3 linked regions of the Xenopus tropicalis genome follow. The main gene of each other region encodes a partner of the protein of the gene in region 3 in a complex. Links are inferred from orthologs where the notes say so. Each region holds a gene or a part of one and is shown on either strand. Other genes may lie near its edges. The genes, in order: yap1, smurf1 and smad7.

The links.
Region 1: the proteins of smad7 (region 3) and yap1 are in contact, whole or in part, in an NMR structure (PDB 2LTV), measured with the Homo sapiens proteins. The link is inferred for Xenopus tropicalis from reciprocal best matches to the Homo sapiens genes SMAD7 and YAP1. Residues at the interface, in NP_005895.1 of Homo sapiens: Ser206, Pro207, Pro208, Pro209, Pro210, Tyr211, Tyr214, Pro215, Met216, Asp217; in NP_001123617.1 of Homo sapiens: Thr241, Gln242, Asp243, Tyr247, Ile249, Asn250, His251, Lys254, Thr255, Thr256, Ser257, Trp258.
Region 2: the proteins of smad7 (region 3) and smurf1 are in contact, whole or in part, in an NMR structure (PDB 2LTX), measured with the Homo sapiens proteins. The link is inferred for Xenopus tropicalis from reciprocal best matches to the Homo sapiens genes SMAD7 and SMURF1. Residues at the interface, in NP_005895.1 of Homo sapiens: Glu203, Glu205, Ser206, Pro207, Pro208, Pro209, Pro210, Tyr211, Ser212, Arg213, Tyr214, Pro215, Asp217; in NP_065162.1 of Homo sapiens: Glu313, Arg315, Ser316, Thr317, Arg321, Tyr323, Val325, Asp326, His327, Arg330, Thr331, Thr332, Phe334, Thr335.

What each region holds. Positions count from the first base shown.
Region 1 is NC_030678.2:162,283,042-162,293,103, reverse strand, and holds part of yap1 (transcriptional coactivator YAP1), read left to right. Parts: intron 1-2,985; coding exon 2,986-3,236; intron 3,237-10,062. UniProt on the Homo sapiens protein: Transcriptional regulator with dual roles as a coactivator and corepressor. Critical downstream regulatory target in the Hippo signaling pathway, crucial for organ size control and tumor suppression by restricting proliferation and promoting apoptosis.
Region 2 is NC_030685.2:47,058,910-47,068,971, reverse strand, and holds part of smurf1 (E3 ubiquitin-protein ligase SMURF1), read left to right. Parts: intron 1-2,475; coding exon 2,476-2,622; intron 2,623-3,584; coding exon 3,585-3,786; intron 3,787-4,453; coding exon 4,454-4,557; intron 4,558-6,706; coding exon 6,707-6,821; intron 6,822-7,689; coding exon 7,690-7,868; intron 7,869-10,062. UniProt on the Homo sapiens protein: E3 ubiquitin-protein ligase that acts as a negative regulator of BMP signaling pathway. Mediates ubiquitination and degradation of SMAD1 and SMAD5, 2 receptor-regulated SMADs specific for the BMP pathway.
Region 3 is NC_030677.2:205,591,327-205,601,983, reverse strand, and holds the start of smad7 (mothers against decapentaplegic homolog 7), read left to right. Parts: upstream 1-5,109; 5' UTR 5,110-6,172; coding exon 6,173-6,653; intron 6,654-8,404; coding exon 8,405-8,458; intron 8,459-10,657. UniProt on the Homo sapiens protein: Antagonist of signaling by TGF-beta (transforming growth factor) type 1 receptor superfamily members; has been shown to inhibit TGF-beta (Transforming growth factor) and activin signaling by associating with their receptors thus preventing SMAD2 access.

The sequences.
Region 1 (10,062 bases), on a different chromosome or scaffold from region 3:
CATGTTGTGGCTACATCTGGATTGTTTTGGCCAGGCTTGTTTGACACATGCTTGTGTGTGGGCTGAGGATCATGTTGGCCCATCTAGGTGGCCACTGGCTATATAGGCTGCCTACCCATGCATGCAATGATTGCAGTCCGCTTATTGGTCAGAATAGCTTTGCCCATGTGTGCCCCATGTGTGCTTAATGTTCACATGTTGCAGGTTAAGGCCCTGTTTTGTCTGCATCATGTACGGAGAATGTGTTCAGTTTAGCTGGGTCATCATATGTAATCAGCCGATAGAAATAACTGACCAAATGAATATATTTCATATTTTTATTCAGCTCAAGCTCTTATTAATCAGTGTTTTCTTAGTGCAGAATGGAGGGAGCGACTCCAGGCCTTCCAGCTCGGAAAGAATTGTTCCTTAGTGAGAGAAAACTGTAATGTCATGTTTGGGCAGGCACCCAAGGCGGCTTATTTATTGTATCTGACGGTAGCATTGTATGATGCGGACATATGAATATATAGGCTGAAGGGAAAACGGGTGCTCTGCCCAACGCTGGTACGAGGTGCTTCTCGTGTATCAGGGCTGCCCAATTTGATTTAATTTACCCCACAAACACGTCACATCTATGCGTACATCCCAAAATAAGTGTACCTGATCGGTTTGTTCAGCACAACTGGATTACAGTTTGAAATGTAGACTTGTACCCCAAGGGGTTCATTCATGTTTCCTTCTCTCCAGTCTCTAAAGTGGGCAGAAAACAAAGAGAACCCAGAGAATGAACACTTGTTTGTTTGTTGTGCTTCTAGGCACGTATGCATCTGTAGCCTTGGGAGAAATCTTCCATGTTATCAAATGTTAAAGTTTCTTTATTTCATACTCCTTTAGCTTGACGCAAAATGTGGTGCAGCGCATAATGCAACGCAATAGCAGAGCGCGTACAAGGCATATGGAGCATGATTGTGTCGTACGTGTCATTATGTGTGCAATCACACGTGCAATGCATGTATTAACAGGTGCCCCAGTGCGACACAGCCCAGTTGGGGACCCCTGCTCCGGTTTATCCAGGCCGGCTGTAGTGAGGCACAAACTGGCACAGCTTCCAAATGAAGTGCAGAATTGTAATATTATGCAGGGGAAATAGAAATTGTGTTTTCTCTCCCACTCTGTATTTAGCATTCCCTTTGTGCATGCAGTATTTCCAGACAGTTTTTAGAACCTGTGTGTAAGTAACTCGGACAGGTTAGGGTTGAAATTTGGAGGATTTGGGTTGGGCACAGGTCAGACTGGGAAAGTGCACTCTTCCTCTGTTTCCCTGTCATGGAACTTAAGGGGCGCACAGAGCGGAAAGATGCGGGGATGGATTGAGTGCAGGTCCTACAATGGCTTAGTGATGGTTTTAGTTCTTCCTGGCCCCCATATCACTAATGCAGTAGGTTTGGGGTGGGTGCAGCAGGGTCGCAGCAGTGTCATGGCTCATTGGCTTCAGGAGACCAGTACTGTTGTCAGTGGCTAATATGGGGTTGCTATGGGCTACTAGATCCATAGTAGCTTTGCCCCTGTTAATACATTAACCTCTCTGTTCTGCAATCATACTTCCAAGTAACATTGGTGGGGTGCGTATCAATTAGAATCATTAGCTTGTATTGTATGGAGCAATCTAGTATTTATGGCTAGAGAAGTGACATGGTTATACTCGCATGTAACTGTTTTGATGGGTCCGTTCCCCCTGTTGTTATACCCCTTCCCATACTTAGTTTTCTTTTCCCTTTAATGGAAGCGTGCAACATGAGCAAGTAATGGGACAGACACCATGCTGCCCTGTAAGGGAGTGTGATGGGAACATCTGCTAATAAATAAACTGAATGCATTGAGTCATGGCTGCTGAGAATACAGGGCTGTAGCTCTGAGGCCCCCGAGCAGCACCCGCTGGCACCCTCCCAAGCATCACTGACTCACGGAGCCTTTCCCCAAATCCAGCGTCACCCAAAGCTGCAGCCATTGATCTAAATATAAACCTTATGTCCCAAGTGCTGCCGGTTGATATTTTGGGATATTGAGACTAAAATATACATTGTCTACTGTGTCGCATAGAGGCCAATGAGAGATGCGCTGTTACCCAAAATAACTGACAGTGAGACATTTTAGGATTATAGAGCAGGCACAGCGGGGCGGGGGGAATCGTACACAGGCCGGGGCTAGATAGGAGCTGTGCAGCCCTGTTACTGGGTTCCCATGAACCTCTGCATTTAATGGGGGTGTGAAAACTGGGCACCCACACTAGGGTTTTATATCAGTGTATGCATGCCTGTGCCAACCCCATTCCAGTGTTTTTTAACCTCATTTTAAAGGGCATGTAAACTATAAAATAACATTTTGCCTAATGAAAGAAAAGGTAAGTATCATTACAGCAATATTCTTCCAGTATATATACTGTACATCCATATATCTATTCTTCCAGTATATATACCTCCAGTATAATCTTCAAGGGGTTATATAATAAAAGCACTAAATTTGCCCAGGAGCAGTAGCCCATAGCAGCCAATTAGCAGGTATCATTTACTGGTCACCTGTTTTAAAGCTAACATCTTATTGGTTGCTATAAGTTACTGCACCTTGGCAAACGTAGTGCTTTTTCTTACATATGAGGCCAATGTTACTATTGATATTAAAAGTATAATTTATCTGTCCCTGGTTATTCTCTGCACTGCTCGTTCTGACTTTTGAGACACATTAGCAGAAGCCAGTGCATTTCAGGCGATAGTTGACTGACCGAGTATCAGTGCCGTTAATTTTAGGCAATTGTCACCTGTTAGCTGGTACAAAAGCACGGGAATACAGGGTTATGGGATATAGATTTTAATACAAGTTGATCCAGGGACTGGTCCAATTGCCATTTTGACATCAGGGAGGCATTTTTTCTCAGGTTTAGATCTCTGCTGATAATTAAAATGTCAGTGTTGGCTTTACTCATATTGTCCCACTTGTTCTTTGCAGGCCAGCACAGATGGGGGATCAGCTGGAGCTCTAACTCCTCAGCATGTCCGCGCTCATTCCTCCCCGGCCTCCTTGCAGCTAGGGGCAGTGTCCCCTGGTGCCCTTTCTCCGCCGGGGGTGGTTCCCGGCCCCGCACCAGCACCCAACGCTCAGCACCTGCGCCAGTCTTCTTATGAAATTCCAGACGATGTTCCTCTACCGCCAGGATGGGAAATGGCAAAGACGCCCTCCGGGCAACGATACTTTCTGAAGTAGGTTTTTTGTTTTCTTGACTGTGTCCGTTAGGGCTCACCTTAGCCTATATACAAATACCTTCATGCTATTACATGATTTGCTTCCATTTAATTGCCTATAAACCTTATATTTTCTTGTGTGATATTGGCATCTCTGGTATAGTTTGAAGCAGACACAGCAAACCGCTTAGAGCTGCATTTCCCACCAGTTTAGGTGCCATCAGCCGCCGCTGCTGTGGGCATTATCATAGCCAAGGCTGTTCAGCAAGGGGGCAGTTGTGCCCCAATAATCCGATAATCTACTGGCTTCTGCAACATTCTTTTAGGATTCAGAACCAGCGGTGCAGAGAATATAGACAGTCAGACATGTACTGATTTCTAGAGCAATTACATTTACAAATAACTTAATGCATTTTTTTCAATGTTGAATGTTGCATTTTTTAGGCACAAAATTTTTTTTGTTTCAAAATCTCATAAATACTACAAAAATAACTCTGTTCAGCAGAGCAGGTTGGTGTGCTGCTACTGATCCCTTGTGTGAAAAAGGAAAGGCATTCTTTTGTTCCTCTACTTCAGCTATTATATTATTGGTATAAACAATCCTAGTAAGCAGGGCCCCGTGTCCCAGGCTGGTTACAGTCACCACTACAGAGGCCATTGATTCCCTGCCCTGGGGCAATACAGAAAAGTTATCTTTCTACATCACTACTCTGGTTTTCAGACTTGTTGGGTAATATAGTCTATCATAAAGCTACAACCTCTTTATCAGCACTAGGTCATAATTACTATTGTTTTACATGACGTGAGCAAATTTGAGTTAAAAGTATTTCACTCCAATTATTTAAGGGTTCTATCGAAGTTTCTGTATTACATAGGTCCCTAGGGATGTACACTGCAATACATTATTCCCACGGAAGGACCAGGCTATAATTGTTATTGTATGGATAGTTGCACTGCTACATTTCCAGGAGGTATTAGTGACGAGCCCTGCACCAAGGCATTTTGGGGTATGATTGCCTGTAGCCGTGCTATCTATTGCAGGGCTGATTTATGAACTTAGTTGCTGCATTGTGCAAATGCTAAGCCAGTCATGTCTTGGCTTTCGTTTTCCAGCTTTTAATAGACAAACTAATTTCTGATTGGCTGCTACTGGCAGGGGCACTTGTGCATTTTATCCCCTGTGTTTGTAAATCAGCCTAGTAGTGTTTTACCTCTATGGAGCTTGTTAAGGTCCCCATACACGAGCCGATTGTAGCTGCTGATACCGATGGGGACCTTTAGACTGATGGCACCTGTAATGTTTTATTTGCTGCTGGTATCTAGCAGAGAGTAGTGATGGGCAAATGTCCTTGTCTAAGGACATTAGGCTAAGATATGCACAGTGGGCAAGGTTGCCAAGGTAGTGAGTCTTTTCCTAAATTAGATGCAAACACACTGCCAGATCAGGACGCAGTGGGCCAGCAATCTGATCATAATGGGGATCAGCGTACGGCCCTCACCTAATGGCATTTATTAGCCTGCACAATAGGTTATGTGATTGATTTTTAGCCAGATATTGGGCAGGCAAGCAGGAGGGCCCAATAAGCTACCAACTCTGTCTAGAGGGACCAAGTTGGCTTTTATCAGGCGATGATAGCCTTAACTAAGTGCCCTTCCTGGCCTGGGAACACAAGCCCTACCTGAGTGTATTATGGCCGTAAATATTCCCCCGCAAGTCATAGTAAATATGAGAGGTAAGTGCCTTGCAGAGTGCATGTATCTTTCTCCTTGCAGCCCTGCTCTCTATGTTAAGGGCTCGAGTTTCAGAGGAAACAATAAGGGGCCCGAGACTGTAAAGTACACACACGTCTGGCAGTCTCATCTGCATGAGCGAGAGCGGTTGTTCTCTTGCAGCCATCCCGAGTCCTTAATTGAAAGAGCTTCTCCCTGGGAAGCATCGGCCTGATTGGTTGGGGAAGGTATGTTTAACCCTGTCCCTTCGTTTGGAAAGTGCTTTTCTTAATGGTGTAAAATTCCCCACCTCGTAAATGAAATAGATATAGGATCTGTTATCCGGAAACAGTTAACCAGAATTACGGAAAGGCCGTGTCCCTGTAGACTCTATTATGTGCAAATAATTCAAATTTTTAAAAGGGATTTCCTTTTTCTCTGTACAGGTATGGAACCGGTTATCTAGAATGCTCCGGAACTGGGGTTTTCCGGATCAGGATTCTTTCTGTAATCTGGATTGCTATGTTTTAATTTTTCTTAAGACGTTTTAACATGAAATAAACCCAATAGGGCTGTTCTGCCCCCAATAAGGGTTAATTATATCTTAGTTGGGATCAAGTACAGGTACTGTTTTATTATTACAGAGAAAAGGGAATCATTTAACCATTAAATAAACCCAATAGGGCTGTTCTGCCTCCAATAAGGGGTAATTATATCTTAGTTGGGATCAAGTACAGGTACTGTTTTATTATTACAGAGAAAAGGGAATCATTTAACCATTAAATAAACCCAATAGGGCTGTTCTGCCCCCAATAAGGGGTAATTATATCTTAGTTGGGATCAAGTACAGGTACTGTTTTATTATTGCAGAGAAAAGGGAATCATTTAACCATGAAATAAACCCAATAGGACTGTTCTGCCCCAATAAGGGGTAATTATATCTTAGTTGGGATCAAGTACAGGTACTGTTTTATTATTACAGAGGAAAGGGAATCATTTAACCATGAAATAAACCCAATAGGACTGTTCTGCCCCCAATAAGGGGTAATTATATCTTAGTTGGGATCAAGTACAAGGTACTGTTTTATTATTACAGAGAAAATGGAAATAATGTAAAAAAAAATTTGAATTACTTGATTGAGTCTGTGACAGGTGGTCTTCCTGTAATTTGGAGCTTTCTGGATAACAGATCCTATATCTGTAATAGTAAAACTGTAGCTTGTGCTTGATCCTTACTAAGCTGCATAAATCCATATTGGTGGCAAAATAATACTGTTGGGTTTATTTAATGTTTAAATGATTTTTAGCAGACTTAAGGCCTGGTGATCCAAATTACAGGAAGATTCCTTATCCACAAAACCCCAGGTTCCGAGCATTCTGGATAATAGATCCTATACCTGTACAGCAAAAGCTGTAACCTTAATAAAGCTTGAACTTTTTATTTATACAGGTATATCAAGAAATAAGGGATGAAAGGAGTAGTTCATCTTTAACTATGATATGTATGATAGTATGATATTGGCTGTATAGGGATATTCTGATATTTGGGATCCTGCTGAAATTCCAGGCATTGGATTTAAATAGCAGTAAAACTGACAGTAACAATAAAATTGAAGCCTTAGGGCAGAGCCACACAAAGAGATTTCCCAAGGGCGACAAACCTCCCGAAAATGCCTTTCCCGTTACTAACCTGTGGATCACTGCACTCTGCCATTATTCCTGGAAAATGCCTTTGTCTTTGTTTTTAACTTAATTATGCTGCATTGCCATATGTAAAGTGTTTTATAAGCGCCAATCCACCGGTTAATAACGGGAAAGGCATTTTCAGGAGAAATATATCCCATAGGTAAGGCAGTATTCCCACAGGCAACAAAGCTACCCACTTGCCATAGCCCTTACAGCAAAGGGACCTACACGCAGATCCATGTTCTGCCATCTTTCTATCTGTATGTGAAGGAACCTACACGCAGATCCATTTTCTGCCATCTTTCTGTCTGTATGTGAAGGAACCTACACCCAGATCCATGTTCTGCCATCTTTCTATCTGTATGTGAAGGAACCTACACCCAGATCATGTTCTGCCATCTTTGTTTTATAGGTGAAGCAACTTAACACCTAGAAAAATGTTTTTCTTTATTGTGGTCTCTCTATGTAGGGAAGGCTACAACCAGAAGCATAATTTGCTATCTTTCGCTCTCTGTATGTGGTGGAGCCTACAGCAAGAGCCTTGTCCCTCCATCTTTCTTTGTATCTCTCTAAGTGGAAGCCACATTTTCCATGTGGAGGAGCCTACAAGGAAGCAGCATGTAACCTGGTCAAGGTGCCACTAACACAACCTGGGTTTTTGGTTTTTAGAAGAGCAGTAAGCAATTGAATTAAATGTAATCTTGGCAATTAGTTTCCTGCACATACCTGTATATAACAGAACACTTATTTACACAGTATTCAGATGGGAAGTCACATATCATGCAAATATGATGAAACACTTGCTTGGGTTTACAGAGTATCGGCTTTCATACTAAGTATCTCTCGTAAAAAAAGGGTTTGTTGATTTACTAATTGGCCAATATAATTTCCAACTGCATTGCAGTTTATCGGAATGACAGACTCATGTTTTTGTGACGTGGGTTGTCTTGTAATTTTTTAGCTAACTGATTTGAATGTATTTAATATTGCATACCTCATCTTATACAGGGTTAAACAACTTTCTTGTTGATCCGTCTTGGCAGTGATCTAAGAAACAGCTGACCCCCTACATCCATTTTATTCTGCTCTTTTGTTTTCAATAGGAAGGAGAACAGCCCTCTTCGGGGCCATTTGTTCTCAAGCCAAATAGTAAACAGAAAAGCGGGAGTGTACTCATCAAAGGGAGGCTTAAGCCACCGGGAAGGTTAGGGAGGTGAGCTTTCATCTGGTTTGATGATGTAGTGTTGATGGAGAACCAACCTCTTGTCCTTCTAAAATCCACACTAATGAGGCCATTTGGAACAATCTGTTTTTCTCTAAAGGAAGTTGAGCCCTGTTCATATTAGCAGAAGGTTCTTAAGACGTTTGAGTAGAACGTTTTTGTTTCTGCTTTGATGGGGCAAAAGCTGGCCTAATGAATTAGCAAAGGTGTAGTACAGACCCGCCACTTCTAGGGTTTTTCCAGCACTAAATCTTGGGCTTGGGAAGGATGGGCCTTGGTAGTCTCCGTTCAGGCCAGTGATCCCCAACAAGTGACTTGTGAGCAACATGTTGCTCCCCAACCCCTTGGATGTTGCTCCCAATGCCCCCAAACAAGGTAGTTATTCTTGAATTCCTGACTTGGGGGCAAGTTTTGGTTGAATTAAAAAAAGATTTACTACCAAATAAAGCCCCTGTAAGCTGATAGTGTGCATAGAGGCCCCTAATAGCCAGTAACAGCCCTTATTTGGCTCCTCCATGAACTTTTATGATGTGGTGGAGAGGGCACTGGGACAGTAGAGTACATGCAGAACTCTTTACTGGAGAAACACAGCCCAAACCCAGTTAAAAGCAGCTACTAGAGGCCATGGTACTAAAACACCAACCACTGAAAAGAGTTTGCAATAAATACTGTGGCGCTAAATGCTGCATTACTCTTTGCATTATAAAAAGGGCCAAAACTGCTTCCAGGGCGAAGGGCTGGGCCATGGATCTGCCATACGGGACAGGTATTAAGAGTCTGTCTGTGGAGTCCCTGTACAGGGACAATCCAAATTAGCTTTGAATTTATGTACAGTTCTGCTGGCTGTTGGGGGAGGCTTGGAATTTGCAGTTTAGCAGCTGGGAGGGCTTATATGTATCCAGTGCTTCCTCCCCTAAGGGCTTACATTTAACTTTTTGGTTTGCGTCTATGTGGAATCTTTTCTGGGAGGGCATTGGCCACACAGCATGGTGCGCAAAGAACTTTATAATAAATGCCACTTCTGCCCCTTATTTTGCACTCTTCTTCCTCCCATTCCAAGGAAGCATTGTATCCCAGTTGATTTCCAAATACATAGTCTGTATTATTTGCAGACTTAAAGAAAGGAAAGTTACGTGGGGGTCAATTCTGCCCAGTAGAGAAATGCACTGTGGGGAGGGTACATAGAAGATTCAGATGAGTGCTGCTGTTTAGTATCGTAGGGTTTTGGAGGGGTTGGGGCCATCAGCCTTTGCAGGGATTAAACAAACAATGCAATGTTAAGTACAGAGTCAATTAGGCATGTAGGCTTGGCCAACTTCAGAGCAGGCCATAGCATGTGACAGTAAATATCCCCAACACAATAACACAGGATTTATAAATGGGGCATAAATCCCAGCTGCCAGCATGCATCAATCGGACTCAGCCCCAGCCTTGCTGCCCCAGCACTTTACTGTCACAAGGATTAATTCCTTTACAATTTTAAAGACATTTTCTTTCTTAACAATGACTGCCAAGGTAGTGAGAATAAATGAATAAAGGACGTGCTCTTCATACACTGCAGTTAATTAGCCCACGGTGCTGCTAACTTCAAAATGGTTTGAATGGGACCAACGGCCATTCCTGTTTTGTCTATAAAAATGTCAGCCATATTTTATCTGTTATCTAAAAAATCCAACCTGGTCTATTGGGTTCAGTGATGCCTATAGTTATGGAAAGCATAGCATTTTCTCTGCTGTTGTACAAACGCCAAGAGAGCGCCTATCCTGCCCGCCCCTGCCCTGTGTTTGTAGCTTAAAATCCATGGGACCAGCACGTTGGGCCATCCAGTTGCCCCCAGAGTGGGGTGGCCGGCTGTAGTCACCACCAGCCGGTTGCTGTCCGTGCTGTTCCGTTCCCACTAGCAATGGTACTGTGCTTATTTCTGTAACATCCCCTCCAGTGATGCCAGGTAAGGGATGGGTCGGCTGCCGTTATACAGATCGGGCCAGAAGGTGATGCTCTGGTTGGATGGGGTTAAGCATGAATTCAAAAATATTTTACCCACACACCTGTGTGCGCAGTGACAGGCGCGTCGTATTACTTCTGCCCCTACTAAGGATGCACCGAATCCTGGATTTGGTCGAATATGAGCCATTTTTAGCAGGATTTGGAATCGGCCAAAACCAAAAGCCTTGCCAAACTAAATCCGAATCCTATCTATGGGAAGTAATGTTCTACCCGTTCCAG
Region 2 (10,062 bases), on a different chromosome or scaffold from region 3:
GTTGTATAGGTTGTATCAAAGCTTTGCCCAAACAGTTAACTGTTGCAAAAATGCCAGTGGTATGCTGCAAGACATTACCAAGAATCGTGTGCTCTGATCATTCCTACTTTAGTTCAGAATTGCCCTGCCCTCTTGACGTGTTATTTGAGCTTGCATAGCACTCCACAACAAATTCTTACACGTGAGCCAATTAGAATGACTTTTCCACTTAGCAATAATATCCCAGACACATCAGAAATCACAGGGGGTAATTTCTCAACACTGGGCAATTTTGCCCATGGGCAGTAACCTATGGCAACCAATCAAATTGTTGAATTCATTGTTCTACCTGCAGCTGGCTCAAAAAAGCCAATCACTGATTGGTTGCTATGGGTTACTGACCATTGGCATATTTGCACATTGTTGATAAATGAGCCCTACTGTGTCATCACTGATAAAAGAAACATGCCTTGTTCTACATTTTGAATCATTAAGCATTGGTGGACACTGTTCAGGTGCCGGCTGTACACTGCCATCTTACATCAATTTCTAAATGTGCTTTAGATTTACTGTGCTGTACATTTACAGCTGACTCCTGTGTACTTCAGAGAGGTTATTTTGTAAAATGTACCATTATATAGCAAAGTATTCCTCTGTATTCTAAAGCGCTTTGAAATATAATATGAATGAACATAAAAGAACAGTAACTGAGTCATAGCGATCGTCTGTAGAGGGTTGTCTGTTCTAGAAGATTTCCATTTACTTAATCATCTGTGCTGCTATGCCAGGTCTGCCATTTTGGATTTGTGTACAGGGATTATATGAAACCAAGTAGCCCCTATTGTAAAATATAAAGGCTATTAGAAGTCACTGAAGAGTTTATAAAGCCACAAGGCTGAAGGCCTTTTTTCCCCAAAGTAGCTTGTGGTGGCTTTAGAGGTATGTTTAGGGTTGCTGTCCTTTTGTAAGAGCCATCCCTTTTTCGTCTTCAGTTTCTTGACTGTTTCACATTGGCTTCCATAATGTGCTTTTACAAGTACATTATTTCTTGTGCCGCTTGTTGCCACACAATCCCAGCGCATAATGGATCCACCTTCATGTTTAACAGTTGGCAACATACTTTTTTTTATCGAATTATTTTTTTTTCCTAAACAAACCTTTGTCGTGAAATTCTTACTTCATTAGTTCACAGCACTTGTTTCCAAAAGGCCTCTTGCTTGTCTAGACAATATTTTGCATAAATCAGACTTTGATGTTTATGACAAGGTTGCTGGTAAGGCTTACAGATGATTCTTCAATGCCGGTCATACTTGTGCAAGCAACAATGCTTCATGGAATGGTTCAACACCACTCTGTTTCAGCCAAACCTACTTAAAAACCTGTTATCCCAAAAGTTCAGAATTATAGAAAGGCCATAGTCTCCATTATAAGCAAATAATTTTTAAATCATGATTTGCCTTTTTCCTTTGTAATAATAAAGCAGAAGTTTGTACTTGATCCAAACTAAGATCTAATTATTATTTTTATTGGAGGCAACTACCACCACCCCCCCCCCCCCCCGTGCCAGACATTTTGTAAACATTCTGTGCTCTCTCATTTTGGGGGCATTTACTAGAGGGGGTTTAGTTTATGTAGGAAAATTATATATCGTTTTTTTCAGGAGAACCTGAGAAAAGAAAAAAAAGAAAATCGCCTTAAAGCTTCCACTTTCAAGAATCCTATCTCCCACATAACATTATGTATCAAGAAAAAACATCCTAAATATGAAAGCCAGGGGTCCACAGAACAGATTGGTGCCATTGTGCATAAGGTTACCAAACTATCTTGAATTTAGACCCCAAAAAGGAAGTTAGAACAAAGGAATTGCCCCAGAGATCTTTTTAGCTACTGAAAATTAAACACATTACAACTGATACAACTGATAAGTAACATCAATTAATTCACTAACTTGTGCAACTATATTGGCCACTAAAGACTGTGCAGCACGGATACTTATAAGAGACATTGGTCTATATATAAATCTTGCTTGAATATATAAAGGGAATTAACTCTGCAATTAAGAACTTTTTCCTCTCACCAACCCCCACCAGATTAATTGAAGTGGAACCTGCATAGAGAACACAATACATCTCTCTTTAAGAGGAATATTCAATTTTTTCTTGCTATTTAAGGTTTTTTGAAATAGGGGTTTTTTTTTGTGTTTTTAAACAATCTAATACAGTGCATTTATGATCTTAAATGGATGTAACTATATGTGGTTGTGAATAAGGTAGGCTGGCCAGCCAAGTTTTTAATTTGATTTTAATGTGATGATATATCAATACTAAATAAATTCTAAAATTTCCACACTGAGTGGAATCTTTAGCAAGAGGTACTCAAATGTTAGCATCCTACTGTATGTGTGTATTACTAGTTCTTTTAGCTGTACTATCTCTACAAACAGAATATTTGATATTCAGGTAGAACTTTAATTTGTTTTTACTTTACATGTTTTAGAGACCTTAACAGTGTGAATTGTGATGACCTTGGCCCTTTGCCCACTGGATGGGAAGTCAGAACCACTGTGTCTGGAAGAATATACTTTGTAGACCACAATAATCGAACAACGCAGTTCACAGACCCAAGACTACATCACATCATAAAGTAAGAATGAGATAAAGATTTGGGATAAAGCACTAATCTAAAAAAAAAAAATTAAAAAGAATTTAGTTATAAATGCTATTTTTATTACATTGTACCAGCCCAGCTGTTCAGCAATCCTGTATTAATAATCATGCATATGCAGTAGTGCCAGTTTTCTGATTCTGTTCTTGTTTTGAGTGCCAGCCTGCATTGGGCTTCTGTAAGGAGTTAGAGATACTGACACGTTCCACGTGTCAGTATTTGTTAGCACTGCACTGTTGATTTAGTAAAATAACGCTCCTAAGCTGCCCGCAGCCCATTTGCACTTACTTTTGTACTTCAGCCTGTAGAACAATAATGCCACGTACAGCCCAGCATGTCTGCAAGAAGCTCCTTTTTCGCCAAATGGCTGGTGCACTTCCACATGTACTAAATGCGGCTGGCCTAGGGGAAACCTAAGGTGCTGCATTAGGAGTAATAATGACATATTGTTTACTATTACAGGAATGTGTCAATATCTCTTCACTCAATGAAATCTTCAGCACATTAGCGGAAAGTATGACATTTGTCATAGAAGCTGTTGCTACAGGACTGATTAATTCTGCGGCAGTATTTACTAGCTTCTGTGCTGCCATGTAATAGTAGTAAATCTGAGTTTATTACTTTTCACCCTTGTGTGGTGACCTGCACAGTAGAGTTTAATAGGCTATATAAATAAAGACAACTTGTACCTGGGTGCAGTCTGATTGAAGTAGGTACACACATAATGAAAAACAATGGTACACACTCTCAGGGCTTACAGTGAAAATAAGATGATTCTTTGTTGCTCTTTGTTGCCAAGAGTTGAATTTTGTGTCCCTCCAATTGCCAGGGTATACTAGGAAGTAGTAAGCTGAATTTGAATAGCATTGTACTGTATTTTTCATTGCTTATAATGTAACTATTAAGATTTTATCATATTAAAACTTTTGTATCTCTTGCAGTCATCAGTCCCAGCTAAAAGAGCCAAATAATGCTATACCAGTGCAGAGTGATGGATCTTTAGAAGAGGGGGATGAATTTCCTACTCAAAGATATGAGAGAGACTTGGTACAGAAACTTAAAGTCCTGAGACATGAGTTATCATTGCTGCAGCCTCAGGCAGGGCACTGCCGTGTTGAAGTGTCAAGGGAAGAAATTTTTGAGGTAAGGTAGCCATGCAAAGCTAAAATAGAGAGGATTCAAAAGATATATATATCAGTTTGGTTACAGATTTGTAGCAGATTTTTAAAAGGGTAGCTCAAATTAAAATGTAATTTTAGAATGTATTATGTATTGTAAAACCGTTTATCATATCTTTATAAATGTTTCAGAACTCATCCCCCCAAAGAAAGCTTTCATCACAATAAAAAGTTGGGGGTTTTATAGTTATTTTGTTAAACTGGATAGAATTAAACAGCAATGTGGAAAGAGCCTTGACATGCTAGCAAGAAAAAAAAACAGATATTAACTTGCAGTAATGTAGCTGATTTTCTATGTTTTAAGCAATGAAATATTTTATCATAGAAAATGTAGTGACCTTATGATTAGAACATCAACGATTGATTTATTTTTTATTGAACGCCCCTAAAAACCTTCAAGGTTTGACAATTTTTTCAAGAACAAAATATTATTTCAACAAAATATTTTAACAGGTTATTTGTATTTATCTTTCTATTCCTTCTTACTTTTAGTTTAGATTTTTTTTACTTACTGGTGTTTAAAACTGGCATCATTTTTTTGTGACAGAGCCAAAATGTGTTATGAAACTTTTTGTCTGCATAGTTTCTATCAAGGCTGTAGTTTTATAATCCGATAATCTGCCCATATGCAGGAGTCCTATAGGCAGATAATGAAGATGAGACCGAAAGACCTTAAGAAAAGATTGATGGTGAAATTTCGTGGGGAAGAAGGACTTGACTATGGTGGAGTGGCCAGGTATTGTCCTACTTATCATGTACTGATGGTGGGCCTAAAATATTTACTGTGTATGACTTATACAGTGATGTTTATTATACACTATCCCAAATTATGGGCTGCATTTTTACTTTGTGCTATGTTAGACAAGAAATACCTCTTAATACCTTTTACCCTTTTGTAAATATCACAACCAAACATTCCCCCCCATCTGGACAGTTGTCTCATATTCTTAGTATTTTAATGCTGGTCTTTACATAGTAATATAGTAAGTTAGGTTGAAAAAAGACGTACGTCCATCACGTTCAACCATAATGCCTATATATAACCTGCCTAACTGCTAGTTGACCCAGAGGAAGGCAAAAAACCCCATCTGATGCCTCTCTAGCAACAAATATGTAACAATACAAATATAACAAAATATACAAATATATAATTTTTTTTTTTTTTTTTTAACGCATCAGTTAATAGAGCTTCTCCAGCTGAATCCTGCATTGAAATCCATTTTTCAAAAACGCAAACAGATTTTTTTTTTTTTGTATTTAATATTGTAACACTGGCTCCTTCTGAAAGTTCAGACTCAGGTACAATGCACTGAGATGGCGGCCTACACACCAGTTTTACAAATGTAAGAAATACTTTTAAATATATTTTTTAGATAACTCTTGTGGAAAAGTGCACTGGGTTCCACAGTCTTGGTTTCATCTGTACTTTTTAATTACTTGCCCCCATGTAATTAATAAAAGGCACACATTTGCCGAGTTGCAGTAAACCATAGAAACCAATAAAATATTTTAATTTAAACATGTACTCAGGAAATAGTACCTGTCCTTTGGTAGCTAAGGGCATTGGCACATGGGGAGATTTGCGGGCTAAGTTAAACCCCCCACATAAAGATGTAATCAGTGAACAGCCTCTTTGTAATTTTTAAATACCTACCACTCTGGTTGTTGAAAGCTTAATAGTAAGGCTGAAGCATCCACTTATATGTGCTCCTGTAATAGCATCAAACTTTAAAAAAACAAAAAGAAGGAAACCTGAAAGCAGAACTTGGCTGCAATTAAAGGAACAGTAACACATAAATATTTAAATACCGTATAAGTCACAAAACAGCTCTAATATTAGGTCTAGCCTTTCCCCCCTTGCCTTTTTTAAATGCTTCGTGTAGAATTTTAGTGACGAACTGCTCCATAGCAGCACGGCGAAAAGGCGACGGGTGCTTGAATTCCTGTGTACACTGACCCGAAAGTTGTCTTCGTGTCGGAGGACCTTCGGCACTTAAGCTCTTTATCAGCTTATGTATGATTGGATGATTTAGCAATATTGTTGTACATTAACAACTTAAAATGACTGCAAGAAAGATTGTTATACCACTTCACTAACTATGGAATTAAAGTCTAAATTGAATTGAATTCCTTTAGAAAATTTGTTGTTTTTTAGATTATTATAGCAGAAGTGGGGAACATAAAAGGCAAAAGCTGTGCAAGGTACTAGTGGCAAAGAGATCCCTTGTCTTTCACAGTTTAGGGTGAGATCTGTTTGAAAAGAGGACTTAATCCTAAATATATCCTCTCTACATTTTGAATGTTATATTTTTTTAAATACTAATCTTGTAGTATTTATTTACAGGCCATGATCCACCATAGGAAACTGTCCCTATTAATTTCTTGCCTGTATCTGTCATATTCAGTGATGTTTTGCTGACATTAAGGGTCAGCAGACAAGGAGATTAAAATGGTTATGATAAAATGCTGTTATGTGCAAGGGAGTATATTATATGCTCTTGCATAGCAGTTTAGAAGAGCCCTGTAATACTATATCCTTCACTTACCTTATTATATATCCATTAGTTATAAATAGAAAAAAAAATAGCTACTGGCTTCATATGTATCATGAAGTTAACATTCAGGACCAACCTTATTAGAATTAAGTCGATTATCATTATGTAAAGTTATGTTTTATAATTCACAAAACCAGTTAAAAAAAAATTTCAGAACATTTGGCTTTTTGGTGTTTGGCATTTGGTGTTTGTATGCTTTAGTAAAAAGTTTAAATTTCATAAAGTTCATAAAGTTTCATAAAAAAAAGAAAAAGCTATTGCTATGTATTTTGTGTTTTCAGAGAACAGCTCAGATTGTCTGTTCATTCTTGATGTGATTCTTTTAAACAGGGAGTGGCTGTATTTACTATGCCATGAAATGCTGAATCCATATTATGGACTTTTCCAATATTCTACAGACAATATTTATACTCTGCAAATTAATCCTGATTCATCTATTAATCCAGTAAGTGTTAAACCTGACATTGTGGTCAGCTGACAGGTAGTGGCAAATTGGGACACTTTGCTGCGGTGAGCTACAAACAAATTAACTTAGAAATTTACTTTTTTTTTGTGGGAAACTAGCCATAATTGACTTGTTTTTCAAAAACAACAAAATCTTTTATGCAGAAGATGCTGCTACTAATTATTAATGTATAGTATGATGCTCATTGGATCTTTTAGTGGCCACAGCAAAATGGCTGAAAAAAATTATAAGCAGTTTGACAGTAAAAATTTTAACATATTAATTCTATCTGGCGAGTACTAAAGCATTGATGCAATAAAGAAGCTGTGCAAACTACCATATTTTTTTAAGAATAGCTGCAGTTGAATATCTGGTTGAAAATTGGTCAGGTGTCAATTTGACAAGTTTGATTTTTTTTTTTTTTTTTTTTTTTAAATTGGATAAGGGACTGCATCGGCAACTAGGAAATTAGTACTTGCCATCCATAGGTTAACCTACACAATATTAAAATAACTGCAGATCATAATTTTGCAGAACAACATAAGTGTTCAGTTGAGCAGCTAACATCATGGGCCATTTGTATGGACACCTGACAATTGGAGGTGCTCGCTAAAATGTTACGCTTCAAATCTCCGAAGCTCACAAAATGCTTTAGTTGGCAAGCTTTGTTCTTTTGGACAGCAGGGCTCAAGGTAATGGACACAATGTGTGTTTAAGGTAGATTCTTCCCATTTTCTTACCTGCCTTTACCTAGTATTAATTGCCAGAGAGGACTGAGATACATCTAATAATTCTGCTGATTTAGTTTAATCTAAAATCAAAACTCAGATACAAAGTCAATTTACTCTGTTTCCACTCTGCTCTACAGGATCATTTATCTTATTTCCATTTTGTTGGTCGAATCATGGGATTGGCTGTGTTTCATGGACACTACATTAATGGGGGGTTTACAGTTCCTTTCTACAAACAACTTTTGGGAAAGCCCATTCAGCTGTCTGACTTGGAATCTGTGGATCCAGAGCTGCATAAAAGCTTGGTTTGGATTTTGTAAGTATTTTTGTTAAGATATTTTGGTCTCTAAGGATCTTATGTTCCCTTTAAGCCAGAGCTCCCCCAACCTATTTTAGTTGCATTGTAAGCCACATTCAAGTTTAAAAAGTGTTTGAGAGCTACTTAGTCATAAAAAAAATATTGTGCAGGCTGCAAAATAAAGACTGGGTTGGCTTTTTCATAGAACTATATAGACTACCTGCCTGTAGCAGCCCATGTTTACCAGAACATTTTTTTGGCTTCCAAGACTTGGCCAGCATTTGTTAAATGAGCACCTTTGAAGTTACTGCATGCAGCATTTAAAGGGGTGTCAAGAAATGTGGTTTACAGGCCAGTAGCTAGGTATCACTGCTCTAACCTGTGTGCTTATATACAAACACAACAAGTTATGATACTTGCACATACAGAGCTTAGTAGAGGAACAACAGACAACTCTATATGCAGTAATATTCTGGCAGATATCCTACGGCCAATAGTACATTACATGATTTTGGGAGTTTTATCCGGGTGCTCTTACAGTAGGTAAAGTTAGACCTTTTCTAAAGTTACACATTGGCAGTAAAATTGGTAAATTTAAATAACATTTTTTTTTTTTTATTATTTTGGCAGTGATTTTGCTGTTTAGGGTCAAAGGACATGTACGTGTTGTCACTTATGTGAAATTTCCTCTCCTGCTGGCCAACAAAAAATCCAAAATTTACCTTTTCATTCAGAGGTTTATTCCCCCCATGTAAAACACTTTACATGCAGTGATCCGGCCTTATTGTGGGAAAATCCATATTTTGACCTTTAACGTAGAACAGTTGCACTCGCTAAACAAGCATAATGATCTTCCCTACCCTGCTCTGTGTGTGAGATAGGTAAGTGAGGTGGGAGGAGGCAGCATCAGCCTTGGTAGCAGAACACTAGAAAGCACTATACTTTGTGCAAAATCCCACCAACACTGGTGTCTTTCCTGTATGTGTCCCAGTGTGACATTACTTAGCAATTTATTTAGTAGATCAGGGTTTTGTTTTTTTTTGCATAGTAGGGGCAACTGACTGGTTTGAAATTCTGCAGATGGATGCCAGGTTCTTACAGAGACTTCAGATTGCCTAAACACACTGCGTAAGCTTAAATGTGATTTGTGTAATTGGTCTGCATCTCAGTTGTTGTTGTTGTAAAATGTCAATATATACACGGTAACACCATAACTTTTTTTTGAATTTTATAGCTGTAGTGGAAGGTATGCTATGTGCGATGTAAATATAATCGTGCCCTGTGGTACCGAGGGCCAGAATTTCTCTGGCAAACATGGTGGAGGGCCAAAAACGGAAGTCAGTTTTAGCCACTGCCCTTTTTATACTACATCCATATTAACACAAACATTTTGAAGACAAATGGTTGGTGTTTACTGCAGGGATATCGCCTAACACTCATATGTGAAAAAAAGTTAATTAAGTCATATTAAGACATACCCTTAAATTCATATGCTGCCTCCTCCCCTGTGGACAGCACAGCAACCCCAGCACCTAATTAAACACCTTAGGGACCCCTAACCACTATTTCCAAAAGCTAATAAACTCCTTAAACAAACCCCTGCCAGGTTCACCTCCCACAGGTGGCATAGGGTAGGCGCAGTATGGCACACAGGCAGCATAGGGCAGGCAGAGTATGGCACACACAGGCAGCATAACTGTATATCTGAGGTGGGAACAATCAATGCCCCATTGATTGTTCCCACCTTAGATATACAGTTATGCTGCCTGTGTGTGCCATACTCTGCCTGCCCTATGCTGCCTGTGTGTGCCATACTCTGCCTGACCTATGCTGCCTTGTGGGGCTTGTGATTGTAAATAATGGATGAGGCTTACAGGTGTGGACAATGCAATGGCTTACAGGTGTGAACATTACAGGGGCTTACAGCCTGAATCTGAGGTGTGAACAATGTAGAGGGGGGGTAGATAATCTCAGTACTGATGCAATTTACAGTCACAGCTGCCAGACAAATGGGGGGGCCACAAAAAGGGGGTCCGCCAGTTTTACAGCATTTCTCTATAGTATAGAAATCCCCCCCTCCTCGGCCACTCTCCTGCCTGAGAGCAGGTGATGCGATTTACCTGCATTAAAGAATAAATAAACATTAAAAAAAAAAAAAAGAATCTCTAAAAATAACCCCCAGAATTTCATACCTTCCCTCTCTGTTTTGGAC
Region 3 (10,657 bases):
ATGAGCAGGGGGGAGGGATACACAGCATTACAGGGGGGGCACACTGCACACTAGCGTGACTGCACAAGGGGAAGAGCTGTGTGTAGTGTCTGCTCTTAATGGCTTGTGGAAGGGAATTTTTTTCTCTAGGATCTTATTTATCTTTTGTGTTGTCTTTGTTGTGTCTCACACCCCGGTGCTGTTGGTTAAACAATTAGGTTAACAGTGCCCTGGCTCCAACTGTCTGCCAAGCTCAGAATTGCAATGCAAATCGGCTGCTTTTATTGTTTGACTTTCAGTTCCCTCGCACAGACGCCTGGGACTCCAGAGAGCAAATAAAGCCAGGGGTGAGTGAGAGGCACTGACTGAGGCACCCACCTCTCCAGCAGGTACACTCAGAGGGCACACTCACCCGAAGGGCACACTCACCCGATCCACTTCAGCTTTCTGTACATAAAGTACTTAGCCTGGGATACAGTATTTAGCCTGGGGTACAGTATTTAGCCTGGGATACAGTATTTAGCCTGGGATACAGTATTTAGCCTGGGATACAGTATTTAGCCTGGGATACAGTATTTAGCCTGGGGTACAGTATTTAGCCTGGGATACAGTATTTAGCCTGGGATACAGTATTTAGTCTGGGATACAGTATTTAGCCTGGGATACAGTATTTAGCCTGGGATACAGTACTTAGCCTGGGGTACAGTATTTAGCCTGGGATACAGTATTTAGCCTGGGATACAGTATTTAGCCTGGGATACAGTATTTAGCCTGGGATACAGTACTTAGCCTGGGGTACAGTATTTAGCCTGGGATACAGTATTTAGCCTGGGATACAGTATTTAGCCTGGGATACAGTATTTAGTCTGGGATACAGTATTTAGCCTGGGATACAGTATTTAGCCTGGGATACAGTACTTAGCCTGGGGTACAGTATTTAGCCTGGGATACAGTTTTTAGCCTGGGATACAGTATTTAGCCTGGGATACAGTATTTAGCCTGGGATACAGTACTTAGCCTGGGGTACAGTATTTAGCCTGGGATATAGTATTTAGCCTGGGATACAGTATTTAGCCTGGGGTACAGTATTTAGCCTGGGATACAGTATTTAGCCTGGGATACAGTACTTAGCCTGGGATACAGTATTTAGCCTGGGATACAGTATTTAGCCTGGGATACAGTACTTAGCCTGGGGTACAGTATTTAGCCTGGGATACAGTATTTAGCCTGGGATACAGTACTTAGCCTGGGATACAGTATTTAGCCTGGGATACAGTATTTAGCCTGGGATACAGTACTTAGCCTGGGATACAGTATTTAGCCTGGGATACAGTATTTAGCCTGGGGTACAGTATTTAGCCTGGGATACAGTATTTAGCCTGGGATACAGTACTTAGCCTGGGGTACAGTATTTAGCCTGGGATACAGTATTTAGCCTGGGGTACAGTATTTAGCCTGGGATACAGTATTTAGCCTGGGGTACAGTACTTAGCCTGGGATACAGTATTTAGCCTGGGATACAGTATTTAGCCTGGGATACAGTATTTAGCCTGGGATACAGTACTTAGCCTGGGATACAGTATTTAGCCTGGGATACAGTATTTAGCCTGGGATACAGTACTTAGCCTGGGGTACAGTATTTAGCCTGGGATACAGTATTTAGCCTGGGATACAGTATTTAGCCTGGGATACAGTACTTAGCCTGGGATACAGTATTTAGCCTGGGATACAGTATTTAGCCTGGGATACAGTACCCACCCAGAACAGGATACAGAGCTCACAGTGACTGGACTACAGTACTTGCCCAAACTGGCACGAAGTACCCACACAGACACGGATATAATAGGTAGAGAGCACTCAGACTGGGAGAGAGCGCACATAACCAGTGGGACAGGCTGAGTTAAGTACTCATACAGGCAGTGCCTAATGACCCAGGGGCAGATAGAGTGACAGGTAGTGGGGCAAAGTGACAGGTAGGGGGCAGACGGAGTGACAGGTAGGGGGCAGACAGAGGGACAGGTAGGGGGCAGACAGAGGGACAGGTAGGAGGCAGACAGAGGGACAGGTAGGAGGCAGACAGAGTGACAGGTAGGAGGCAGACAGAGGGACAGGTAGGAGGCAGACAGAGGGACAGGTAGGAGGGGGACAGGTAGGAGGCAGACAGAGGGACAGGTAGGAGGGGGACAGGTAGGAGGCAGACAGAGTGACAGGTAGGAGGCAGACAGAGGGACAGGTAGGAGGCAGACAGAGTGACAGGTAGGAGGGGGACAGGTAGGAGGCAGACAGAGGGACAGGTAGGAGGCAGACAGAGGGACAGGTAGAAGGCAGACGGAGTGACAGGTAGGGGGCAGACAGAGTGACAGGTAGGAGGGGGACAGGTAGGAGGCAGACAGAGTGACAGGTAGGAGGCAGACAGAGTGACAGGTAGGAGGCAGACAGAGTGACAGGTAGGAGGGGGACAGGAAGGAGGCAGACAGAGGGACAGGTAGGAGGCAGACAGAGGGACAGGTAGAAGGCAGACGGAGTGACAGGTAGGGGGCAGACAGAGGGACAGGTAGGAGGCAGACAGAGGGACAGGTAGAAGGCAGACGGAGTGACAGGTAGGGGGCAGACAGAGTGACAGGTAGGAGGGGGACAGGTAGGAGGCAGACAGAGTGACAGGTAGGAGGCAGACAGAAGTGACAGGTAGGAGGCAGACAGAGTGACAGGTAGGAGGGGACAGGAAGGAGGCAGACAGAGGGACAGGTAGGAGGCAGACAGAGGACAGGTAGAAGGCAGACGGAGTGACAGGTAGGGGGCAGACAGAGGGACAGGTAGGGGGCAGACAAAGGGACAGGTAGGAGGCAGACAGAGTGACAGGTAGGAGGGGGACAGGTAGGAGGCAGACAGAGGGACAGGTAGGAGGCAGACAGAGTGACAGGTAGGAGGGGGACAGGTAGGAGGCAGACAGAGGGACAGGTAGGAGGCAGACAGAGTGACAGGTAGGAGGGGGACAGGTAGGAGGCAGACAGAGGGACAGGTAGGGGGCAGACAGAGGGACAGGTAGGAGGTAGACAGAGGGACAGGTAGGGGGGCAGACAGAGGGACAGGTAGGAGGCAGACAGAGGGACAGGTAGGAGGCAGACAGAGGGACAGGTAGGGGGCAGACAGAGGGACAGGTAGGAGGCAGACAAAGTGACAGGTAGGAGGGGGACAGGTAGGAGGCAGACAGAGGGACAGGTAGGGGGCAGACAGAGGGACAGGTAGGAGGCAGACAGAGTGACAGGTAGGAGGGGGACAGGTAGGACGCAGCCAGAGGGACAGGTAGGAGGCAGACAGAGTGACAGGTAGGAGGGGGACAGGTAGGAGGCAGACAGAGGGACAGGTAGGGGGCAGACAGAGTGACAGGTAGGAGGGGGACAGGTAGGAGGCAGACAGAGGGACAGGTAGGAGGCAGACAGAGGGACAGGTAGGAGGCAGACAGAGGGACAGGTAGGAGGCAGAGAGAGTGACAGGTAGGAGGCAGACAGGGGGACAGGTAGGAGGCAGACAGAGGGACAGGTAGGAGGCAGACAGAGGGACAGGTAGGAGGCAGACAGAGGGACAGGTAGGAGGCAGACAGAGGGACAGGTAGGAGGCAGACAGAGGGACAGGTAGGAGGCAGACAGAGGGACAGGTAGGAGGCAGACAGAGGGACAGGTAGGAGGCAGACAGAGTGACAGGTAGGAGGCAGACAGAGGGACAGGTAGGAGGCAGACAGAGTGACAGGTAGGAGGCAGACAGAGGGACAGGTATGAGGCAGACAGAGGGACAGGTAGGAGGCAGACAGAGGGACAGGTAGGAGGCAGACAGAGGGACAGGTAGGAGGCAGACAGAGGGACAGGTAGGAGGCAGACAGAGGGACAGGTAGGAGGCAGACAGTAATTAGAGACAAGCTTGCGGACGTTGCAACATGTACACTTTGTACCCAAACGTCACGAGCCAAAAGTGAGATTTAAGTAGCGGCTCGAGGGGGACTTGTCCAGCCCTAACAACCTGCACTGAAACCTCTCAGCCCGACTTCCCCTCCAACATCACAAGCCGGCCATTTAACCCCATTCATGCACAGTCAAGCTGAGCTGATAACTAAGGCCGATACCCTCTCCCCGGAGAGCTCACTCCATGCATCTACTACCTCTATGTTAGAAACAACATGAAACCCGAGTATGTATAATGTATTCTCCTTATACCTGCCAGGCCCTGCAAGCAGTTTATTCATTAGTAATCAATCTGCTCCCCACAGCTTGAACTACAGCTCCCAGCAACCCCTAACAGCCTTAGCCTACATCCTCTCCCACAGCTCAGCAGCAGCAATGCCATAAAGGTGTATCAGCCTGCCACTGGGAGTAATTATTATACCCAGGTACTTACATCTAAAGAGGTAGTTCACCTTTGAGTTAACTTTTAGTATGAGATAGAGAGTAATATTCTGAGATAATTTGCAGTTTGTCATTATTTTTTGTAGTTCTGTAATTATTTCACTTTTTGTTCAGCAGCTCTCCAGATTGGAATTTCAGCAGCTATCTGGTTGCTAGGGTCCAAATTACCTTAGCAACCAGCAGGATTGGACTGGGCCGACGGGACACCAGGAAAAAACCTGGTGGGCCGCAGGGAGGCAGCCGGCGGGAGTCCCTACTGGGGGTGTGGGGGCCCCTGGTGACCAGGCATTGGTTTCAATGAGAGACTGATATTTCTAAACAGAAAGAAAAGTAATTAAAAGTAACAATACCAATAAAATTGTAGCCTCACAGAGCCATAGTTTTTGTTGCGGGGGTCGGTGACCCCTGTTTGAAAGCTGGAAAGAGGCAGGAGAAGGGGAATAATTTAAAAATGATAAAAATAAATAATGAAGACCAATTGAAAAGTTGCTTAGAATTGGCCATACTGAAAAGCTAACCTCCCCTTTAATGTTACACTGATGGCTTTATGCCCCACTAAATGCATAGTGCACACTCTCACTCAGACTCACACTCTCACTCAGACTCACACTCACACTCAGACTCACACTCTCACTCACACTCTCACTCAGACTCACACATATGACTGACTGTGACATAAAAGAGGAGCTTTCAGTAACCCGAAGCCTTTGCGCAACACAATCCTTGGGGTTTTTTTTTTTTGTTAAAGCGACAGGCTGTCTAGACACCCACGTGATGGGCCGCGCCATTGCGCACAGGAGACTGACAGAGCCGAGAGAGCCGGGGAGAGAGAGAGACAGGCACAGACAGGGGAGGGGGAAGTGAGAGACAGTCAGGGAGAGAGGAGGGGCACTGACAGCAATGAGCAGGGTGAAGTCCCTTGGTAACTGGGTGCTGTGAGTGTGAGCTTTGTGGACACAGCACCCCCCCAGTAGAGTGTAGGTGCCCCAGTGAACCCCCATAGCCGGCCCTCGTTAGCGGAGGGATACCAGTCCTCTCCCCGCTGCCCCTCGCCGTGTCTCCGCTGTGCGGCCGGTCCCTCCTCCTCTCCCCCCCCCCTCTCCCCATCGCACATTTCCATAACACAGACGGGGGCGGATCAGCCCTTTGAGAAGGAGGAAAAGACAAGTCCCACTTTATTTTTTTCCCCTCTCTCCTACTGAGCGGCCGGATAAAGGATTTTTCTTGTGGATTAAACAAGCGAGAGGCGCAACCCAGGGCTTCTACTTCTTTACTGGAACCGCATCGCGTACGGATTATCTATAAGGTTCTGCCGCCCTAGTGCCCCTACTCTCTGCCCATTTGCCCCCCATACACAAGGGATATTATCGGCAGACCCGCTCGTTTGTGGATGTACGAGTTGTGGGGGGAGCCCGCTTTCCTACCGGGAGGATTGTGTATAAATGCCCTTTAGATCCCAGGCCAAGCCGGGCAGCGCTCTGTGCTCCATTCAATGCCCCGCTGCTCCCGGCTCGGCTGCCCAGCATTAGCCCGCTGTATGTGTAGCCGGGGCGGCTGCTTGCCGTTTGCAGTATTCCTGTCGCTGCGACTCGGATCCCCCCGCCGCACTTTGCAGGATCTCTTCCCCTAAAAGACTGGCGCATGTTCCAGATCGCTTTGGCTTGTCGGACCCCCAGCTCCCCCCTACCCTCCCGGGCTGCTGCTGCTGGTCTCTGCCCGGCCTCGGATCCAGGATTCTTCATGATTTGCGGGCGTCATGCACGTTGTTTAGCCGGGAAGCCTTGCTCTCGTCCCGCATGTTCAGGACCAAACGATCGGTGCTCGTCCGGCGACTCTGGAGGAGCCGAGCTCCCGGGGAGAGCGGGGAAGGGGAAGGCGGGGAGAGGGTTCATGGAGCCGGGGGTTGCTGCCTGGGCAAATCGGCGAATAAGGTGCCCGGGAAGGCGCTGGGGGGCTCGGAGGCTGCAGAACTGAAAGCCCTCGCCCACTCCGTGCTGAAGAAGCTGAAGGAGAAGCAGCTGGAGGGGCTGCTGCAGGCGGTGGAGTGTAAAGGGGGAGCCCGCAGCCCCTGCCTGTTGCTGCCGGCGGCCAAGCTGGACTCCAGGCTGGGGCAGCAGCCCTTCTCCCTGCCGCTGCTGCTCTGCAAGGTCTTCAGGTGGCCGGACCTCAGGCACTCGTCCGAGGTCAAACGACTTAGTTGCTGCGATTCCTATGGCAAGAACAACCCGGAGCTGGTCTGCTGCAACCCGCACCATCTCAGCAGGCTGTGCGAACTAGGTAGGTGCCCCCTGTACCCAGACTGGCACTCACACACAGGGCAGGGTGGGTTTGCTCTGACTGCCATCCAGACTGGCACATACACATGGCACGGTGGGTTTGCTCTGACTGCCATCCTGTCCTGCAGGGACTTTGACACCCAGACTGGCACACACACACATGGCAGGGTGGGTTTGCTCTGACTGCCACCCTGTCCTGCAGGGACTTTGACACCCAGACTGGCACACACACATGGCAGGGTGGATTTGCTCTGACTGCCACCCTGTCCTGCAGGGACATTGGCACCCACTGGGCACAGCTGGTGTGTGTAGTTGGCATCAGAGGGTCAGTCTGGCATTAGTATTTCAATGCAGCCACAGGCTTGGGGGTTCAATATTGTGATGGGTAATGGGGATACTGATTTACTGCCATTTGGCACAGTTATAATGGGGTATATGACTGGGCATATTTATCTCAGGGCACAACTATTCTTTTTCCATATTTATCCTTGGGTATAGCGGGAATGGCAAAGGGGGCATGGCTCTGGGTTTCATGGGTACAGCACATTGGATACATTGGTCGCTGTGGCTAATAGCAGGGCAGAGTAACTTGCCCCTTGGTATAACTGACAGTGTGGCTTGGGGATAGTGGGCACGGTGGGTGCTGTGGGGGTACAGTCTGCTGTGTAAGCTGGGAGGTGTCATTGTCACTATGTCATTCCGTTGTACTGTGTGAAAGGAATGGGGGGGGTCACACGGATTGTGGGGGTGCCTTGTGTCACTTTGCCAGGAAACCTTCATATACAAGATACACCCCATTATCATCCAGTCTCCAGTCCTATAGCAGGTCTGCTGGGCTAATATCAGTGGCAATAAAGGGGGGGGGGGGCTTATGTATTTCTGGGGGGGGGGTCTCGGCTCATGTCATTATTAGGTATTATTCCCTATGACAGTAGTGACAGTGCCAGGGGGCTGAGTAGTTACTACTGACATCTCATTCATCCCCCCATCAATGGATCGGGGCTGTCCCTCCCTTTATTGCACTTATACCCTAGTAATATATTGTTTTTCCCTTCATTTACCTTTTAAGCTTATTTCTGTTCTGCTTAATGTGTTTATTAATCATGCCCTCCCCCCTGTTTCCTATTTACCAGCCTACTTTTATTATTACACCCCTATTAAAGTTGGGGTGTAAAGCGTAAACCCCCTCTTTTTGCTTCAATGCCCCTTTCTCCGGCGGCAGTTTCAGCGCACTTTTATATACGGCTGTGCGTATAATGCGCGAATAGCGAAAAAGTCTTTTCCCCAACGTACAGTGAAGTACAGTAAGGAGATAAAATTGCAGTTGCATGGCTACTTTGTAATCCTTAGAAAAATAGGGCAGCAAGGGGAAGGGGGAGGGGGTGTAAAAAGGAAAAAAAAAAAGAGAGTCCCTTTCCCTTTATCTTTTTGCCTTTCTGTGAAATGCTAACTGCTCGGCGGAGCTACAGGGGGATTATGGGGGCAGGAGTGGCTGAGCCCCCGGTCAGACAGTCGCAGGAGCTGATAGCAGGGAGGGCTGGCGCCAGGCGGCAGCTATTGTTTATCTCACTGCTAAATATCAAGGCGATCGCCGCCTCTCTGCCCTGCCTCTCACCCCCGGGGCTTACACAAACACTTTGCCTAGAAGAATGCCAGTGTTATCACAAGTTTCTATCTTGCCTTTTTTTTTTCTTCCTTCTCCCTTTCCTCATGGACCTCTCTTTATTTTCTCTCTTTTTCTTCCCTTTGCAGAATCTCCCCCACCTCCCTACACCAGATACCCCATGGACTTTCTCAAACCGACTGGTAAGTAACTTTTATTTCATACTTGTGCATCCGGGGCCTTTGGGAAGGGAGGCAGGGGGTTGCTTTACGGAGGGCCCTGATTTATGTCATCTTGACAGCTTCATTTTTTTTTTTTTTTTTTTGGTTCCCCCCTGGGGAGTTGAGTTCTGTGACTCCTGGAGTCCTACAGTTCTGTGATGTTTTAATGCAGGTTTATGGCTATTTTTGGTGTGCAATAATTTTGAATGATATTGGGGGCATTTTGTGTGACTTTGGTGATTTCTCGGTTGTGGGACCTCATGACATTTGATCATTTATTGCATACAGTTGTATTAGGATTGGGGTGCAGTTTTGGGCTCTCTGTTTTACATTTTTGTGAATTTTTACTAAATGACCCATGTATGTATATTTTTATTTATAAAGTGCTACTTTATAGATAAATACAAAGTATACAAATAAATACAAGATACAGTTGCAATAACTTAAGAGTCAAAGACACAAAAGGTTGGAGGTTCTCTGAAAACTATTGGGGCATTTTGTGTGACTTTGGGGATTTCTTAGTTGTGGGACCTCATGACATTATATCATTTATTGCATACAGTTGTATTTGGATTGGGGTGCAGTTTTGTGACTCTCTGTTTCACATTTTTATGATTTTTTTCTAAATGCCCCATGTAAAGGGTAACTTTCTGCTGCAGTTTTGTATCTGTGTGGCTCATTTTGTGTGAGTTTTTGTAACACTGTTTTCCCTATAACTTGGAAGCTTGATAAATCTCTTTTGGAATAGTTCTATTTTTGTGTATCAACGTATAAAGAGGATTTTTTTTCCCATTTTTTAATAGTTTTCAGAGAATTGTAGCATTATATAAACAGGGGAGCAGGTAATATAAATGAAAAAAATAAAAAGTATAAATACATACATTGTAGGGTATTACTACTCAGTTGGAATGAGGTCCTAGCCCAAAGAGCTTACAATCAATGATAGATAGATATTAGTAACTCTCAGGTTATTGCTTATATACAGAACAGCACCTTTAGGTTTTAGCAGTTACACAATGCAATTATCGGTGCAATGGTGCATTGTTGGGATGTCACCTTTTTTGCGCTCCAGCTGCACTCTCATTGGTTAATTTGCTCACATGCCCATTTGGAATATGGCTGCCTGTTGGCATGCGTTTTAGAATCTATAGTGGGACCCCATTGGTGGGGGGGGGCAGTAGGGCAGTAAGTGGAAAAAATGGGGTTAAAAGAAGACCTGGAGCGCCTGTTGCTGAATGGGCTGCCTGCCAGCTCCAAAGCCCATTTATAGTTGGCACCGGCGCTGTCGAGCCGCTCAGAGAGGGACAAATAAAACTTGCGCCTGGCATCTGGCTCACCTTGTTAGACAAATAAGATTGTGGCTTGCCGATAGACATATATTTATTTATATCCGCAATATGTCTAATGTCAGGGAGCGGCCACAAAGCCAGCCCATATCACAGAGCGGAGATGAATGGCGCCCCCTCTGCATATTGATCCGTGCAAGCTCTTTTATTTGTGATTATGCCCTAATGTCACACCGGCAGTAAACCAGGCTCGTCCATCATTTCCCCGGCAATAAAGCCTTGATTTACACCTTTCTGACAAGGCGTCACATTTCTCCCATAGGAGACCGACACAGCCTTTGCTATAGAATGGAATGCCTGTTGGCTAGCTGGGGGCTAGAATGGAGGTTCCCAAACTCTGGGTGCTCCCCCTGCCCAAGGCAGAAGGCTAGCTGGGCTTGGAATGTGGCCGAAGGATGCAGTTCTTGCCAGTGAAAGCAGCATTTGTTTATTATTTATCTCTGTTCTTCCAGGCCTTGTAATCAGCTGCTTATGCAACATTGTCTCAGGAGTCGGAACAGTTGGTGCTTTCAATACAAATGAATTTTAAACCTTTAAAAAATGTGTAGTTAGTGTTACAGTTTTGTTTTTTCATTGTGGCAACATTTTATTTCTGGGTTCACTTCCCCTTTAGAGGTCTTTTTTTTTTCCCATTCCCACCGCTCCCCACGAAATAAGTTTGCACCTCCAACTTTAACGAGGCTCACCTTTCTGCATGGAGGCCACAAACAGCAAAGGAAGCCGTAAGCGCGTCAGTTTCGCTGTCCTCCCATGTCCCGGGGAGCTGAGTGATGGCATTGGCTTCATTAGCAAGTGATGACATGGAAGCAGCGAGATGTGTAATAAAGAGGCCTCC